Linked DNA regions of Tribolium castaneum. The protein of the gene in region 1 interacts with the protein of each later gene in a pairwise test. Links are inferred from orthologs where the notes say so. Each region holds a gene or a part of one and is shown on either strand. Other genes may lie near its edges. The genes, in order: SkpA, ago, FBXO11 and Fsn.

Region 1 (2,465 bases):
GTCGGATTCAAGTCACTAATAGTAAAATGAATATGGTTGCAATGATTTTGCAAATATCGAGGCGGGAAGGCTTCAGACAGCTTTATAACGGGTTGACTCCAACGTTAGTTCGGACTATTCCATCCACTGCCACTCTTTTTGCAACTTACGAGTATTCCAAAAGATTCCTCCACCAAATTTTCTGATTAGAAATAAAACTCGAACATAGTTTTTATATTTTATTTTTATCCAATAAATAAATAAATAGGAATACTGGGGTAATACTGTCCGGCCTGTCTTTTATTATTCTCCTCACTTCAGATAATTGCTATTTTCGGGATCGAACTCGGGGGACGATTCTATGGCTTTTTTCAGTAGTTCCCCGAAAAGACTCGGACTGTTAAGGATTGTAGGGAAATCGCGGGACCGGTCAATCCCCGAAAAATCGGAATCCAGGGCTGGCACCCTAACAAATGAATCAAACTTTTGCACTTTAATTGTTTTAATGACTACCTGTACTCGTCACTGAGACGGCTTAAAATGTCTCGCTTTTGCTGCCCGCGGCACACGGGAGAAAAAATGTGTGTCCTTAAATAATTAATTAATTAAATAAACCTGATATTATGTAATTAGTACCTGCAATGATTTTTTTTCAGCAAGTTGGGGTTTTTGACCAAAGCCCCGTGGGTAATTTCAATAGATAGGAAAATAATGCTGACGAATAACAACAAAGTGATTCGGTGGTCCGTAATGGACTTTTTCATTGTTGTGGAACCCTAAAAATCAGATAACAATTTGTTTGTGTTTTGCTCCAAAACACTTGAGAAGTCAAGTTAGATAAGAATTGGAAGTTTTCAAGTAATAAAGATTCGGTCAATTGTTGCGTCAGATTGTTACAATTAGTTGTTTTTATGCAATAAAGAGTGTTATCGCAAAAATTTCAAAATAATGTGTAAGAAAGAGGGTGATAAGGAGAAAATCAAAAAAGACGACTCAGACAGACTTACCATTGTTTGGCTTGGAGACAGGCGGTGAAGACGGACAATCTGGCTCCCAAATTCTTGGGCCACCTCTTTTAAATCAAGAGCGGGGTCTTGCGCAAACCAAGTGCAACAATTTTAACGCACAATTAAGCTTTATATTGCGGCTCTTCCCATATTACATTATCCGAGGCAAATAACGCGCTACGTGTTTTGATGAAAATTTTGCCGCGTCATTGCGTATTTGCTGCAATAACTCGTTTTGAATTAATTTGTTTATAACAATTGGTTCGAATCTGGCGCCCGTGTGGGGACGCTTGCGCGTTACACCTGTCATCCACCATTATTGCCGTCTATTGTCATATTCTGTCATCGAAGAAAAACCGTGAAAAATGCCGAATATTAAACTGCGTTCCTCCGACGGTGAAACGTTCGAGGTGGACGTGGAGATCGCGAAATGTTCAGTGACCATCAAGACCATGCTGGAGGACCTGGGGATGGACGAGGAGGAAGAGGAAGTGGTGCCTCTCCCCAATGTCAATTCGGCGATTTTGAAGAAAGTTATCCAGTGGTCCACTTATCACAAAGATGATCCTCCACCGCCCGAAGACGACGAGAACAAGGAGAAACGCACGGATGATATTTCGTCATGGGACGCCGATTTTCTCAAAGTGGACCAAGGCACTTTGTTTGAGCTGATCCTGGCGGCGAATTACCTGGACATCAAGGGGCTGCTCGATGTGACTTGCAAGACAGTCGCCAACATGATCAAGGGCAAGGCCCCCGAGGAGATCCGCAAGACTTTCAACATCAAGAACGACTTCACAGCCTCCGAGGAGGAGCAAGTGCGCAAGGAGAACGAATGGTGTGAGGAGAAGTAAACTCGTATTTTTTTTATTTAAGATTATTTCCAAAATTGCGTTCATTGTTTTATTGTAATATGATTATTTAAATCAAACGCCATTTCGACCCAACTGGTTGTTTATTTGCACCTTAACCAATTATAATAGGTGTCGGATAAAATATAGTATACAAGTGTTAAAATACGCCATAATCATCGCAAGACCCCGCCTCGTTCCCGCAAATGCGGGCCCCCATAAACGCCCCCATTAAAACCGCTACAAATATCATCGTTAAAAACCCTAAAAAGTACAGCCACGTCCTGGAGGAACACAAGGACCACCAACACCTACAACTCGCAATTAATTGGCAGCTTTTTAACCACAACTAACCCTCGGGTAAAACACCCATTTCGCTTGATTTCATCCTCCACGAAATTTTCCGACTTGGATAGTTGTTCATTCATTAATTTAATAATTTTGCATTTGATGTGTTTGAGCTTCTGTTTCGTTTCCAAAACGTCGCAGTCACAATCATCATCACGGCTCATTAAACTGGAATTGTGTTAGGATTAAGGAAATTCAATTTGTAGTGTGCAAATTGAGATTATGACGTTAAGGTGTCATTTTGGGCACGTAACTTCAGTGTCACAAAGGGACCCCGAAT
Region 2 (3,570 bases), on another chromosome or scaffold:
TGATGTCGCCTAAATTAAACGTAATATCACAGAATTACACCATTAAGTGTTTCTGAAAACGTTTAGTAGTTGAAATTATTGGGTTTGTCAAAGACATGAAATTTGATAGCAACATCAGTAGTATGCTTTTTAAAAGTCGTAGGTCTACAAACACGCGCACTCATACAATTTTTTGCAGTCTGTAATTACCTAGAAATGATGGTACTGGAGTTAGAATCGACATCAAAGTCCAACACTAGTAGTTTTGTTTCTTCTGTGCCGTTACGACTTCCAACCGCGCACACTAGTTTCGTGTCGTTGGCGCGAATCCGCCACACAACGCCTCCTGAGCCACCACTGTCCAAAGCCACCAGGTTTCTGATGAACTCGCCGGTGCGAACGTCCCATAATTTTACAGTTCCATCATCCGAGGAAGTTATCACAAAACGATTGTTGAATTGGAGGCAAGTTACGGCTGACTGATGTTTGTATGGTCCTGGAAAATGGAAAGTAACATCAAATCTACATTTGTTTATTACTCAATTTGCTTAATTCACTGCTATTTAATTACATATTTTAACACAACAGTATAAAATGAAATTAAAAGAACAGCTTAATAAAATATAATAAAATGGTTTAGTAGACAACCAACAATACAATGATAAAAATTGTTCTACAAGTATCAGGGCATGCTGCGAGTTTTTTTTTTTTTTTTTTTAATAATAAACATAGGAATATAATTACACTACACTATAACTGCATTTGCTTATTTTAATGATAATTAAGAGTATTTTGTAACAGTGATGTTACAAAAGAGGTGCAAGAATCTTACCTGAAAGGGTTTGTAGGCACTGACCGGTCACTATGTCCCAAACTTTAACGGTGGAATCGGCATTTCCGGACACTAAAATATTATTTCGTAATTCCATACCGGATGTTAGGGACTGGTGACCCATAAGCGTATGTTTGCAAGCTCCCGTCTCAACTTCCCACACTCGAATGCTCGTATCCAAAGAACCGCTGACCACATGAACGCCATCAAACTAGAAAATTAACAAAAAACAATTAAATTAAAGTAAAACAACTAATTATAATGAATGAAATGTTTCATTATGGCCCTCATTCAAAACTGTCATCATCTGATTCTGGAGTTCAACATATCTTAATATGGAACTCGACATAAACCTCAAACCTTTTACTACGTAATCATTGGACCCGTAAACAAAAATCTACAATAATATTACATACAATGTTGTTGTAATTTTAATAGTTATTTACATTATAAGTACGGTTGATGTTTTTTAATTTTTTTAAATTTTCGGATACAGATTTATCACCACAATCTAAAACAAAATACTTTCTTCTCAACACTTGATTAAGTTTAAATACACTCATTAATCATTTGTAAAAAAAATAAATTTTGAAAACGATTTTTTTTGTTTCTGTTTGCAATTTTTACGAAAACTATTAGTCGGAGAGCAATGTCCTTTTTTTTAAAAGATAGATAATTAACAGAGTTTTCCAACGATAATAAACTTCATAAGGTTATCTATAAATAAATAAATAAATGTTCCGGGTACCGAAAATTGACAAAAATTGCGACGAAAATTGAAAAAATCAAACATAAAAAATCGAATATTTGGACTTTTAACAACTTTAGTGGGTTGTTAAGACATGTAGAAGTCCATAAGAATTTGCTGGAGTTAGTTTAAAAAAAAATTTTTTTTCACCTCTTTGAAGGTAAGTGTATTTTACTCAGGAAATTGAGCAAAAAAATTGAAAATTTTAAATCTCGTGAAAAGTTGGTATAATACAGAAAATGAGCCGCTGAATTCAATGGAACAAACCGCATTGCTCTACGACTTTTTGATTTTGAGTTATGAATTTTTTTAATGAATAAAATTTTTCACAATGACAAATGGCTACCCTAAATTTAGGCAAAAAATTTTAAATTTTTAATTCTTGTGAAAAATCGATATAATATGTAAAATGAGCCGTAGAATTCAATCGAACAAACCGCAATGCTCTACGACTTTTAGTTTTTTTTTTATGAATTTTTTTAGTGAAAAACTTTGATCGCCTCTGTAGCCGGAACCGTTGCCCGTACCGGCTCGGGGTTTGGTCGAAAAAATAGATAAAATTAAGCGCTATCAGATGGTTTTTTGTTCGTTGCTCTAAGTTTTACAGTTTCCGAGAAAAACGCAAAAAAAGGTTTCCATTTTCACTTTTTTTCAATTTTTAACCGCCAATTACGGCGAAACTATTAGAGTTATCGAAAAACGGAAAAATCGAGGACAACCGGAATAAAAAACTCTACAAAATGGCATAAGACTCAAGGCGATATCTCGCAAAAAAATTTTCAATTTTCAAACGCCGATTACGGCCAAACTAAAAGAGCTAGGAGAAAACGCTTTTTTAGATCGAAAAGAGCACATCAAAATCTATAAGATAGAATAGGTTTCATTTAATTTTGAGACACTTTAAAAATTGACCGGTTTTAAGGGGGGGGGTGTTAACTTTTTTTTATTTTTTTTTATTTTCTCATTTACGGCTAAAATATTCTAAAAAGTGAAACTGTTTTGATCCATACCTATGCAAAATGATCCGGGGAATCGATTGGCATCAAGAAAATTGCCAAATTCCCAACAGTTTTTTAGTTATGAATTTTTTAAAATTTTACCAAATTTTGCATTTAGCAGCAATTTGCTCGAAAACTATTAGTCGGAGAACAATAATCTTTTTTGAAAAAAATAGATAATTTAAAGAGCTTTCCAACGATAATACACTTCATGGGGTTATCTCTAATAGTTCCGGAGCTATTGCTCGACAAATGTTCCGGGTACCCAAAATCAACAAAAATTGCGACGAAAATTGAAAAAATCAAACATCAAAAAATCGAACATTTGGACTTTTTGTGGACTTTTAACAACTTTTGTGGGTTGTTAAGACATGTAGAAGTCCATAAAAATTTGCTGGAGTTAGTTAAAAAAAAATATTTTTTTCACCTCTTGAGGTACTCAGGAAATTTGAGCAAAAAAATTGAAAATTTTAAATTGCGTGAAAAATTAGTATAATAGAGAAAAAAAGCCGCTGAATCCAATGGAATAAACCGCACTGCTCTACGACTTTTAGTTTTCGAGTTATGAATTTTCTTAATAAATAAAATTTTTCATTATGACAAATGGCTACCCTAAATTTAGGCAAAAAGTTTTAAATTTTTAATTCTTGTAAAAAATCGATATAATATGTAAAATGAGCCGTAGAATTCAATCGAACAAACCGCAATGCTCTACGACTTTTAGTTTTTTTTTAATGAATTTTTTAGTGAAAAACTTTGATCGCCTCTGTAGCCAGAACCGTTGCCCGGAGCGGCTCCGGGTTTGGTCGAAAAAATAGATAAAATTAAGCGCTATCAGATGGTTTTTTGTTCGTTGCTCTAAGTCTTACAGTTTCCGAGAAAAACGCAAAAAAAGGTTTCCATTTTCACTTTTTTTCAATTTTCAATCGCCAATTACGGCGAAACTATTAAAGATATCGAGAAACGAAAAAATGGAGGATAACCGGAATAAAAATGTCATGGGACTCAAGGCG
Region 3 (4,289 bases), on another chromosome or scaffold:
GTTAGACGTAATGTGCCGCTTTATATAAATAGTGAATGTCGTCAAAGTGACATATCCGTCAAACTTTTCTCAAACGTGATGTCATTATCAATTTCCACTCAAGCTTACGCTTGAATCGGACATATTGTACGGACGAATAGCTATAAATTATTCATACACTTCAAAATAACAATAATGTAATTTATACTTTCAATGAAAGATCTAATTATTAATAACTATTTTGCATTTTTATCAACCTTACTTAAAAAATAATTTGGTAAAATGCGACTTTGGCATTTACGTAGTTTTGAAACACCTAATATGTAAACGCCAACGTCGCATTTCCTATCTAAATTTGTTGTTATAAAGTATTTATGCAAAATTAGTAGTTAATGTAATTATACTTTCAATGAGAGATCTAATCACTATAACTATTTTACATTTTTATCAACCTTATTTTAAAAAAATAAGTTGGGGAAATGCGACGTTGACGTTTACATAGTTACATAGTTTGTAAACAACTAAAACTATTTGAAAGCTTATTATTTGATCTCTTCAGCTTGATTTAGTTAATCAGCGTTTTCAAACAAGTTAAAAAAATGTTAAAGTTTACTCTAATTATAACTTCAAATGATCACATAATATTAACATGAACCGTACACATTTTTTTGCATAAAATAAAATCCTTTGAATGTATCCAGATCCACTGAACAATTCTGCCGCGTTAGGGTCGACTGTAGATTATAACATACAACAACTATAAGCTGCAAAATTTGCATTGACCGAACATGCCCCATGTCCGAACGTACCCCGCACTCCCCTACTTGGGAATACATTTTGCTTGTCTTTTGTTATTTGAAGGCTCAGGTAACACACCTGGACTTTATCCTTTTATGCAATATGTGAAAATTATTTCAACTGTATAAACGGTTCAAAATATGAAAAAAAAATTTTCCCATGATAAAAAAATTCGTATTTTTAATATATTACTAATTACATTGAATAAACAAGTTAATCATTTCTTGTATTTTTTGTGTAATAAAAAGAGTAACGTAGTGACGTTTATTGGTCTTGTTCTTTTCTTTTCCTCCGCCATCCGACATTGAATTTGTCGTAGACTATACCGTAACGGGGAGCGGCGGGAGGTGCGCGGTGCGGAGGGCATCCGTCGCAAGCCTACTTGATTTTGTTCATGTTGTGTGAAAAGGTGTTTTTCGTGTCCTTATCCTGAAAGGTGAATGGATTACCTGTTGTGCGGCGACTTCCAGACGTGTAAACTGGCGACATAAGTCACCGACATCAGCAAGCATAGCCCGATGGAACGAAAACAATCAAAAATTCCATAGAAATCCTGCACCATTCTGACATTTTAACGGTCACGTGACGTCAAACCAGCCCGGTGATTGGTTGGTCCGGTTCCGTGGTTGTCGGAACGGTAGCGAATATGGCCGCCAGTGCTAGTTCCAGTGTCTCCTTTGTTTAGAGATTGGTTTTGGTGCTAGTGCTAGAAAAAATGCCGAGCGCCTCTTTCACGGCCTCCAGGTCGTACGTAAGGAGGTCCCGCAGGAAGGGCGCTAACAGGATCCCGACTCCTTCCAGGACCACGTCTGGTAAGTGTAGCTGCTGCGACCCGAATCCCCCTATTGTCACCTTCGAGAGAATGCGAAAACAGTTATTTGGGGCCCCAAATATCGATTTTAGTTCATCAAAGACTCTTGTGGCGGACGCATCTGCGTAAAAATAACAGGGCTGCCCACATCGCAACAACCCAAATAAGTCCAGATAACGATTTTTATCGTCGCGAAATATTTGTAAACATGGCAGGCAGCCCCACGCAGGGGCTCCACCTTACGCTCACTCACACCATATTTCATACATCCCTCAATATCGATTTCCATCAAGTGGCTAAATTGCCTTTTAATTGACATAAAAACGACCGAATTAACTGCACTAGGACCCCTCAATGTAAATACAAAACGTAATTAATTCAGTTGCAAGGTTTTATTTTTCGACTGTTGCTAAACCCGGTTAGATCATCACGTTTCAGCTTCAGTAAATCGGTATCCTTCATTTTGTTGGAAATTTTCTTTGTGGCATTTGGCAGATGAGTTTAATAATCTTTAGCCCGAATAACAGCACTGAAAGCGTGGTTTTGGTTGCTACTAAAAATACTTGTAAGCAAACATACGGTCGAAAACAAGTTAAACATAGCCAAAGCTGAAAAATTTTTCATTTCGCCAACAAGCAATGAATAATTGTTGAAATTTGTTTCGCAGCAGAGCCATGCGAACCTTCCTGTCCTGTACCTAACCAAAACATTCCAGCACCTACGGCGGCCGCTCCGGGCTCTGGGGGGCCTTCAGCAATGGCCCCTGGGACCAGCGGCGGCGCCATTCCAGCCCATCACTCTCCTTACGACCTTCGACGTAAGTCTCCGTCCCATCACGACGGGCCGGGGCCCAGCACCAGCGCCGCGACGGCAGGATCGCCCACTTCCCCGGCGACTCCGACGGCACCAGCACAAGGGTACACTTCCGCCATGCTTCCGGCGAGGAAACGTCCAAGACGGACTTGTTCCGCTTCGTACGAGAGTACGATCACAATTTTCCGAAAAAAATACCATTCTCAAAACGAGCTTTTGCAGATTGTACAAACACAGCCGCTCATTATCTCCAATACGAGCTGCCGGACGAAGTTTTGCTCACGATATTCAATTATTTACTCGAACAAGATTTGTGTCGTGTGAGTCAAGTGTGTAAACGGTTTCAGGCCATTGCGAATGATACCGAGATTTGGTAATAATTTGACCATTTGCTGTGAAATGCAACTTGATTGATTTTTTTTAGGAAACGCCTATATCAGAGTGTCTATGAATACGATTTGCCCTTGTTTAATCCGGCACCTTGTGTTTTCCAATTTATCAGTCCGGAGGAGTCTGATTTGGCTAATCCATGGAAGGAGTCTTTCCGTCAGTTGTATCGCGGGATACACGTTCGACCAGGTTATCAAGACTTGACGTTCAAAGGACGCAATCTTGTGTACTTTAATACGATACAAGCGGCTTTAGATTATGCCGATGAACGTAGTGGTAGTAATAGTACGAGCGGTTGTCTCTTGGTCAATAATAATCACACTGAGGGTACCACTCAAGGCGCACTCATATTTCTACATGCCGGTACTTATCGTGGAGAGTTCCTCGTAATCGACGACTCAGACATTGCTCTTATAGGTTTGTAAAATATTACTTACTAAAATGTCTTTATTGGCTATTTAACTTTACAATCCTTGAAATTATTTGATATTCTACCTTACGTATACTTACACTTCTTTATTTTTTTTCAATTTTCTTCTTGCACCTTATCTTTCTCTCCCAGGTATGCTAAGAATAATGCAAGCTTTAACGCACAACCTTGACTTACGTCTTTAATTGTTCAAAAACATTTGCTCGTCTCTTGATTAATCGTTTCTTCAAAATTTTCTCTATTTTTTTAACTTTCTAATTTTCAGTTCTTCTTTTGTAAGTTCGTTTATTTCCTGTAATGGTTCGACACTTTTGATCTCACTACAACTGTTTTGACTTCCCTTTAGTACTTCCATAAAGTGATCGTTCCACTTTTCCATACTTATATTTTCATTTATTTTGTCTTTACTTTTGCTTTCTTTATTTGTAAGATTCCACACCTCCAACTCTGTCCTAATTTCTTTTATTTTGTATACTTTTTTTTCTTCACACTTGTACTGTTTTCTTACTTCGGTCTACAAAATATTACTGTCGTACTTGTTACTTATCGAATTTTTTTGAAGGTGCGGCACCTGGGAACGTGGCCGAATCCGTGATACTAGAACGAGAATCCGAATCGACGGTGATGTTCGTCGAAGGTGCAAAAAACGCCTACTGTGGCCATCTTACGTTGAAATTTTCACCTGATGTCACATCTACAGTACCTCACCATAAACATTATTGTCTCGAAGTTGGAGAAAATTGTAGTCCGACTATAGATCATTGCATTATACGAAGCACATCAGTTGGTAAGTCTTGCGTTCAATTTAAAGTCAAAGTTTTGTACATTTTTTTTGTATTGATTAGTTGGTGCGGCCGTTTGTGTGAGTGGTGCCGGCGCAAATCCCGTCATACGTCATTGTGATATAAGTGATTGTGAAAATGTCGGCTTGTACGTCACCGATTTTGCCCAAGGAACGTATGAAGATAACGAGATCAGTCGGAATGCATTGGCTGGTATTTGGGTGAAAAATAACGCGAACCCGATCATGCGTCGTAATCACATACACCATGGAAGGGACGTCGGAAT
Region 4 (4,048 bases), on another chromosome or scaffold:
CGTAAAAAATTAATCAAAAATGTAGTCATTCTACAAAATTGGCACCACCAAGGCCGGATCGAGGGTAAAAAGTTAAAACAATTAGTAACTTACTGATAAATAATATTTCTTCAGAAGACTGTGTTTAAATAAGCAACAATATCACTGTTTTTGAACCAAAAAAGTATCACTTAAACGCTAAAATACGCAAAAATAATGCATTTTTAACCCAATCAGGAATTTTTGTGTAACAATTTCATGTCAAACGTACTTAAAAAAGTTCGAAAATTGCAAAAATTGCTCCACATTTAAATCACTCGCGTGATATTTCCGTTCATTTGTAACAAAATGTGTTAAACTATTGGTAAAAGGCTCAATTTTTTTTTTTTCGATAAAACAATTTATTTTTTTATTTTGTAATTTTTTGGTCAACCCTTGTCTAAAAATATCCTGAACTTTCGATGAATTTGTTCCTAAAAATAAATAAAGTCTCGATCCGGTCCTGGAGGTCATTGCTACTATAAAATTACCTCCGTTTTTTCAATAAAAATGTTTGTTCTACTTTGCATAAAAACATATCTGGGGTCAAACGATCACTAAAAACACCATTATGCATTCATATGCAAATTTCGATACTCATTAAACAGATAGATATCAAACCACGTCATTACAATTTTTAATAATTACGACTTTTTTCATTGTCTTTTATTTCAGCTGCGTAACTCCTGTATTTTGGCAGTGTTATTAAAATTTGTTACTGGGAGGCAATTTTATAGCAGTAATGATGAAAATATTGCAACAAAAAATTGCAAGAAAGCACCCAATTTGAATTGATTCCCTAAAAGTCTACTCACTCAATGTTTCTGTTTCAGTGTTAAAAAAGTGGCAATCAGGTCACGGAATATGGCAAAATGTTTATTTACTTAGTGCATTTGATGTAAAAAGTGGTAGCATCTAAAAAATAAATAAAACGTATTAAAACGAAATCAATTCCTCCTTGTGGACTGTTATTTAGTTAAGTTTGTGACAACATATACTTCAAATGCACCTCTCTTAGTCTACTGTTATAAAAATTCTACATCTACCATTGTTTAAATTGTCCTACATACTCATTTTTAATGGAAGTATGACTGACTGAAGTAAAATGTAATTATCACATGGGCAAACCTGCTGTCCTGAATGAGCCATCTTGAAGCATCCAACCCCTTTTTTCAGTTAATTAACAGACTAACGTCAACTTCCAGCTGTGTTAGCCATCTAAAGGTGGTCCGAGATACACCATTGAAACTTCAGTGTTTCCGTAAACGGCAGAAACTGTTGGATACAATTTTTTATCTGGCAATCCTGAAACACCTCATGAAACACCATCTCGCTCCAAAAAGCGCTTTACCTCTAAAGGCCACTCCCAAAAACTCGTAGTTTTTTTCAAAAGATAGCGTGTTGTCATCACAATCTAAAATCACCCGAATTCGCTCCCCAACCTGCAAAACCCAACTAAGACAAAAACTAAAGTCTGTTTTTTATTTAAACGGAAAACCAACCGCAAAACAACAAATAGCGTCAAAAAATTATAAGTTTTAAAAATTAAAAAGTTGGTCACTTTCTGTTATGCAAGATTAATCTTATTTCAAATTTTAACCAAGAGAAGTAAAGTGTCGAACTTACAAATAGAACTTATACAACACGTACGTACTAATAATGTTAGCAAAAAAGCACTGTTTCTATTTTTTATTAATTTTTAAAACTAAAGGTGGAAAACCATTTTTTTTAATTTTTTGAAATCCCCAAACTAATTTAAAAAAACTAGGTAAAAAGGTATCCTAAAGAGCACGAAAAAAAGCTTGCCATTAAAAAAATATTATGCCCTCATTCTTTTTGGGGACACTCCATATAATCAAAAATATTATCCTAAAATACGTCCTAGATTATAAATAACGTCTACAAAATATCAAAACTTTAACTTTACTAATATGAATTACAATAACATCTTCTGAAATAAACCTGAGTATTTCTAAAATACAGTTGAAAAAGGTGTAGTTTTGGCAAAAGAACTTGCCATTTCCAGTCAAAATAAATAATAAAAAAATTACATAATATAGAGTCTTGGACTTGGTAATTTCCGTTTAAATAAAGAACAGACTGTAGGTGGACCAGCGAACTTACTTGATATTTAGGGGCATTGTTAAGTAGCGGGTAATTGCCTTGAGCATCTCCATTGTGCAGTAAATGATTATCAACTAAGTTCCAGCCCCAACTCTGGTCGTCCGAGCCCAGCAGGGCCACGTAACCGTGACACTGCAGAGGTGCGTCTTTTGTGGCAATTCCTATGACGGCGACCGTCCCCAAGGGCCCTTCCCAGATCACCTCCCAAGCGTGTCTCCCATGTCTAAATCCGATTTTACCTCTCGAAGCGTCCGTGCTTTGAGCTACGGGATTTCGGTGTAACGTGAACCCATTAGGCTTAATATAAATATTTCTAGAGCAGTCGTTCGGATTCCAGGCGTGGTAAAACGCCCGCAATTTCGCTTTATACGTAGGAACTGAAGACAACAAATCTGACTTTAGTGCTTCTTCGGCTAGTTTCCGAATACAGTGCAGCCTCCAAACGTCGTTATTTTCATCATTTAAAAAACTATACCATCTCTTACACACTAAAGAACAGTTCCTCAAATCATGCAGAGACAAATATGAAAAAATTACTTCCAACACATTATCGGGCAATGTTGATGCTACAGCGGCATCCATTTTTGAACGGACCAACCCGTCTGACACTTGACACTTGACAGCGATACCAACCGCTCGAACCGACTGATTGCGATTTCAATAAAATCCGCTTAAATTATTTATAAACACGCGAAATTTGCATTCACGACGTCCAATAACGCGGTTTATTGAGGACGCGAACTGATCTAGAAAAATTCACGTATATAATAGAGGTGGTGTTCAACAAAAAATTAGCGACAGAACAGGACATCTCTAGAAACAGACATCGGCAGAATCAGTCAAATCTAAAAAATCATAAACAGAAGCATTCAAAACACTTTTCGAGTCGAAGTATTGGTTTAGAATCGACACCCAGGACACATTTTCATTTTCAGAAATGTATTTATTTTTACATAATTTTTGTATTTAGCAACAATTTTCATTGTTGTTTTAAAATGTTTAAATTTTCGTTTCTACTAAAATTGATTCGGCACTTTTATTCCTCTGAAGCCGCTTTAGCTTTTCAATAAACTGTTCTTTATATGTTACATGTTCGACAAATCTATATTTCATATGCAATATAAGAATACAAAAAAATAGTTTTACGGCTGTAAAAAACAATCAGCAATAAACATATTTATAAATACAGGGTGTCCGTTTGTCGTTTTTATTTCTGATTTCAACGATGTATCACAAAATATGATCAAATATTACATGCTGATCAAAATGGAGAAAAAGCATTTTTACGAAAATTGCTGATCATTATGTGATACATCGAATTGTTAGCAGAAATAAAAAAACTTTTAAAAAATGCAAGTATCAAATATGGCTAAAGTTGAGTGTCGTAACTCTAACATCAAGAACGTCTTGAAAAAGGCAATGACAGATTTGGATTTAAAAAAAAAATCCCCAAAAAAATATTCTACTTAAAAACGTGTATTTTTTTGGTTTTTGCTTTAAAAAATAAAAACAAAAATTACAAAATATTGATGGGGTCAATTCATAACGGTTTGCGTGTGGGTATGAGCTTCTTTCCTTTGCTATTCATGCTATGATGACTAAAAATTCAGTCAGAAGAGTATGAACAATTAGTATTAAGATCTATAAGAAGATAACAGGTCGAAAAACTACATTACATTTACCATATCCACACGCATACCGTCGTGAATTGACCCATTACAACAAATTTTGAGAGAAAATGTGATGTTGGCATTTTTATGGTTTCGAAACAGGTAATAAATAGTATTTTATAATTATTCTTTTACATTTGTGTTTACCGTATTTACTGACTATTTCGTCATTATAGTGCAAAATAGTATTTTTGCAGTAGCGACACCTAGCGAATACTGCCTTTCTAATAATTTAA

What was found.
Region 2: the proteins of SkpA (region 1) and ago interact in binary tests that used the Caenorhabditis elegans proteins (3 or more experiments, as listed by UniProt). The link is inferred for Tribolium castaneum from reciprocal best matches to the Caenorhabditis elegans genes skr-1 and sel-10.
Region 3: the proteins of SkpA (region 1) and FBXO11 interact in binary tests that used the Caenorhabditis elegans proteins (3 or more experiments, as listed by UniProt). The link is inferred for Tribolium castaneum from reciprocal best matches to the Caenorhabditis elegans genes skr-1 and dre-1.
Region 4: the proteins of SkpA (region 1) and Fsn interact in binary tests that used the Caenorhabditis elegans proteins (3 or more experiments, as listed by UniProt). The link is inferred for Tribolium castaneum from reciprocal best matches to the Caenorhabditis elegans genes skr-1 and fsn-1.

What each region holds. Positions count from the first base shown.
Region 1 is NC_087402.1:1,039,207-1,041,671, reverse strand, and holds SkpA (S-phase kinase-associated protein 1), read left to right. Parts: upstream 1-1,273; 5' UTR 1,274-1,351; coding exon 1,352-1,840; 3' UTR 1,841-1,933; downstream 1,934-2,465. Other genes in the region: mitochondrial ornithine transporter 1, read left to right, coding at 1-185; uncharacterized protein LOC103312555, read right to left, coding at 292-445, 493-567, 616-755, 987-989. UniProt on the Caenorhabditis elegans protein: Probable essential component of SCF (SKP1-CUL1-F-box protein) E3 ubiquitin-protein ligase complexes, which mediate the ubiquitination and subsequent proteasomal degradation of target proteins.
Region 2 is NC_087394.1:36,172,829-36,176,398, forward strand, and holds part of ago (archipelago), read right to left. Parts: intron 1,864-3,570; exon of another isoform or gene 1,258-1,863; intron 1,209-1,257; exon of another isoform or gene 1,023-1,208; coding exon 812-1,022; intron 476-811; coding exon 190-475; intron 1-189. UniProt on the Caenorhabditis elegans protein: Probable substrate recognition component of SCF (SKP1-CUL-F-box protein) E3 ubiquitin-protein ligase complex, which mediates the ubiquitination and subsequent proteasomal degradation of target proteins.
Region 3 is NC_087396.1:9,595,774-9,600,062, forward strand, and holds the start of FBXO11 (F-box only protein 11), read left to right. Parts: upstream 1-1,447; 5' UTR 1,448-1,492; coding exon 1,493-1,589; intron 1,590-2,041; exon of another isoform or gene 2,042-2,083; coding exon of another isoform or gene 2,084-2,153; intron 2,154-2,255; coding exon 2,256-2,570; intron 2,571-2,623; coding exon 2,624-2,774; intron 2,775-2,825; coding exon 2,826-3,208; intron 3,209-3,783; coding exon 3,784-4,008; intron 4,009-4,066; coding exon 4,067-4,289. Other genes in the region: Sras (CAAX prenyl protease 2), read right to left, coding at 1,227-1,339. UniProt on the Caenorhabditis elegans protein: Substrate recognition component of a SCF (SKP1-CUL1-F-box protein) E3 ubiquitin-protein ligase complex which mediates the ubiquitination and subsequent proteasomal degradation of target proteins including blmp-1.
Region 4 is NC_087398.1:7,905,184-7,909,231, forward strand, and holds the start of Fsn (F-box/SPRY domain-containing protein 1), read right to left. Parts: upstream 2,808-4,048; 5' UTR 2,725-2,807; coding exon 2,143-2,724; intron 1,474-2,142; exon of another isoform or gene 1,461-1,473; coding exon 1,370-1,460; intron 1,324-1,369; coding exon 1,229-1,323; 3' UTR 1-1,228. UniProt on the Caenorhabditis elegans protein: Component of a SCF (SKP1-CUL1-F-box protein) E3 ubiquitin ligase complex which is required for the restriction and/or maturation of synapses in GABAergic neuromuscular junction (NMJ) presynaptic neurons.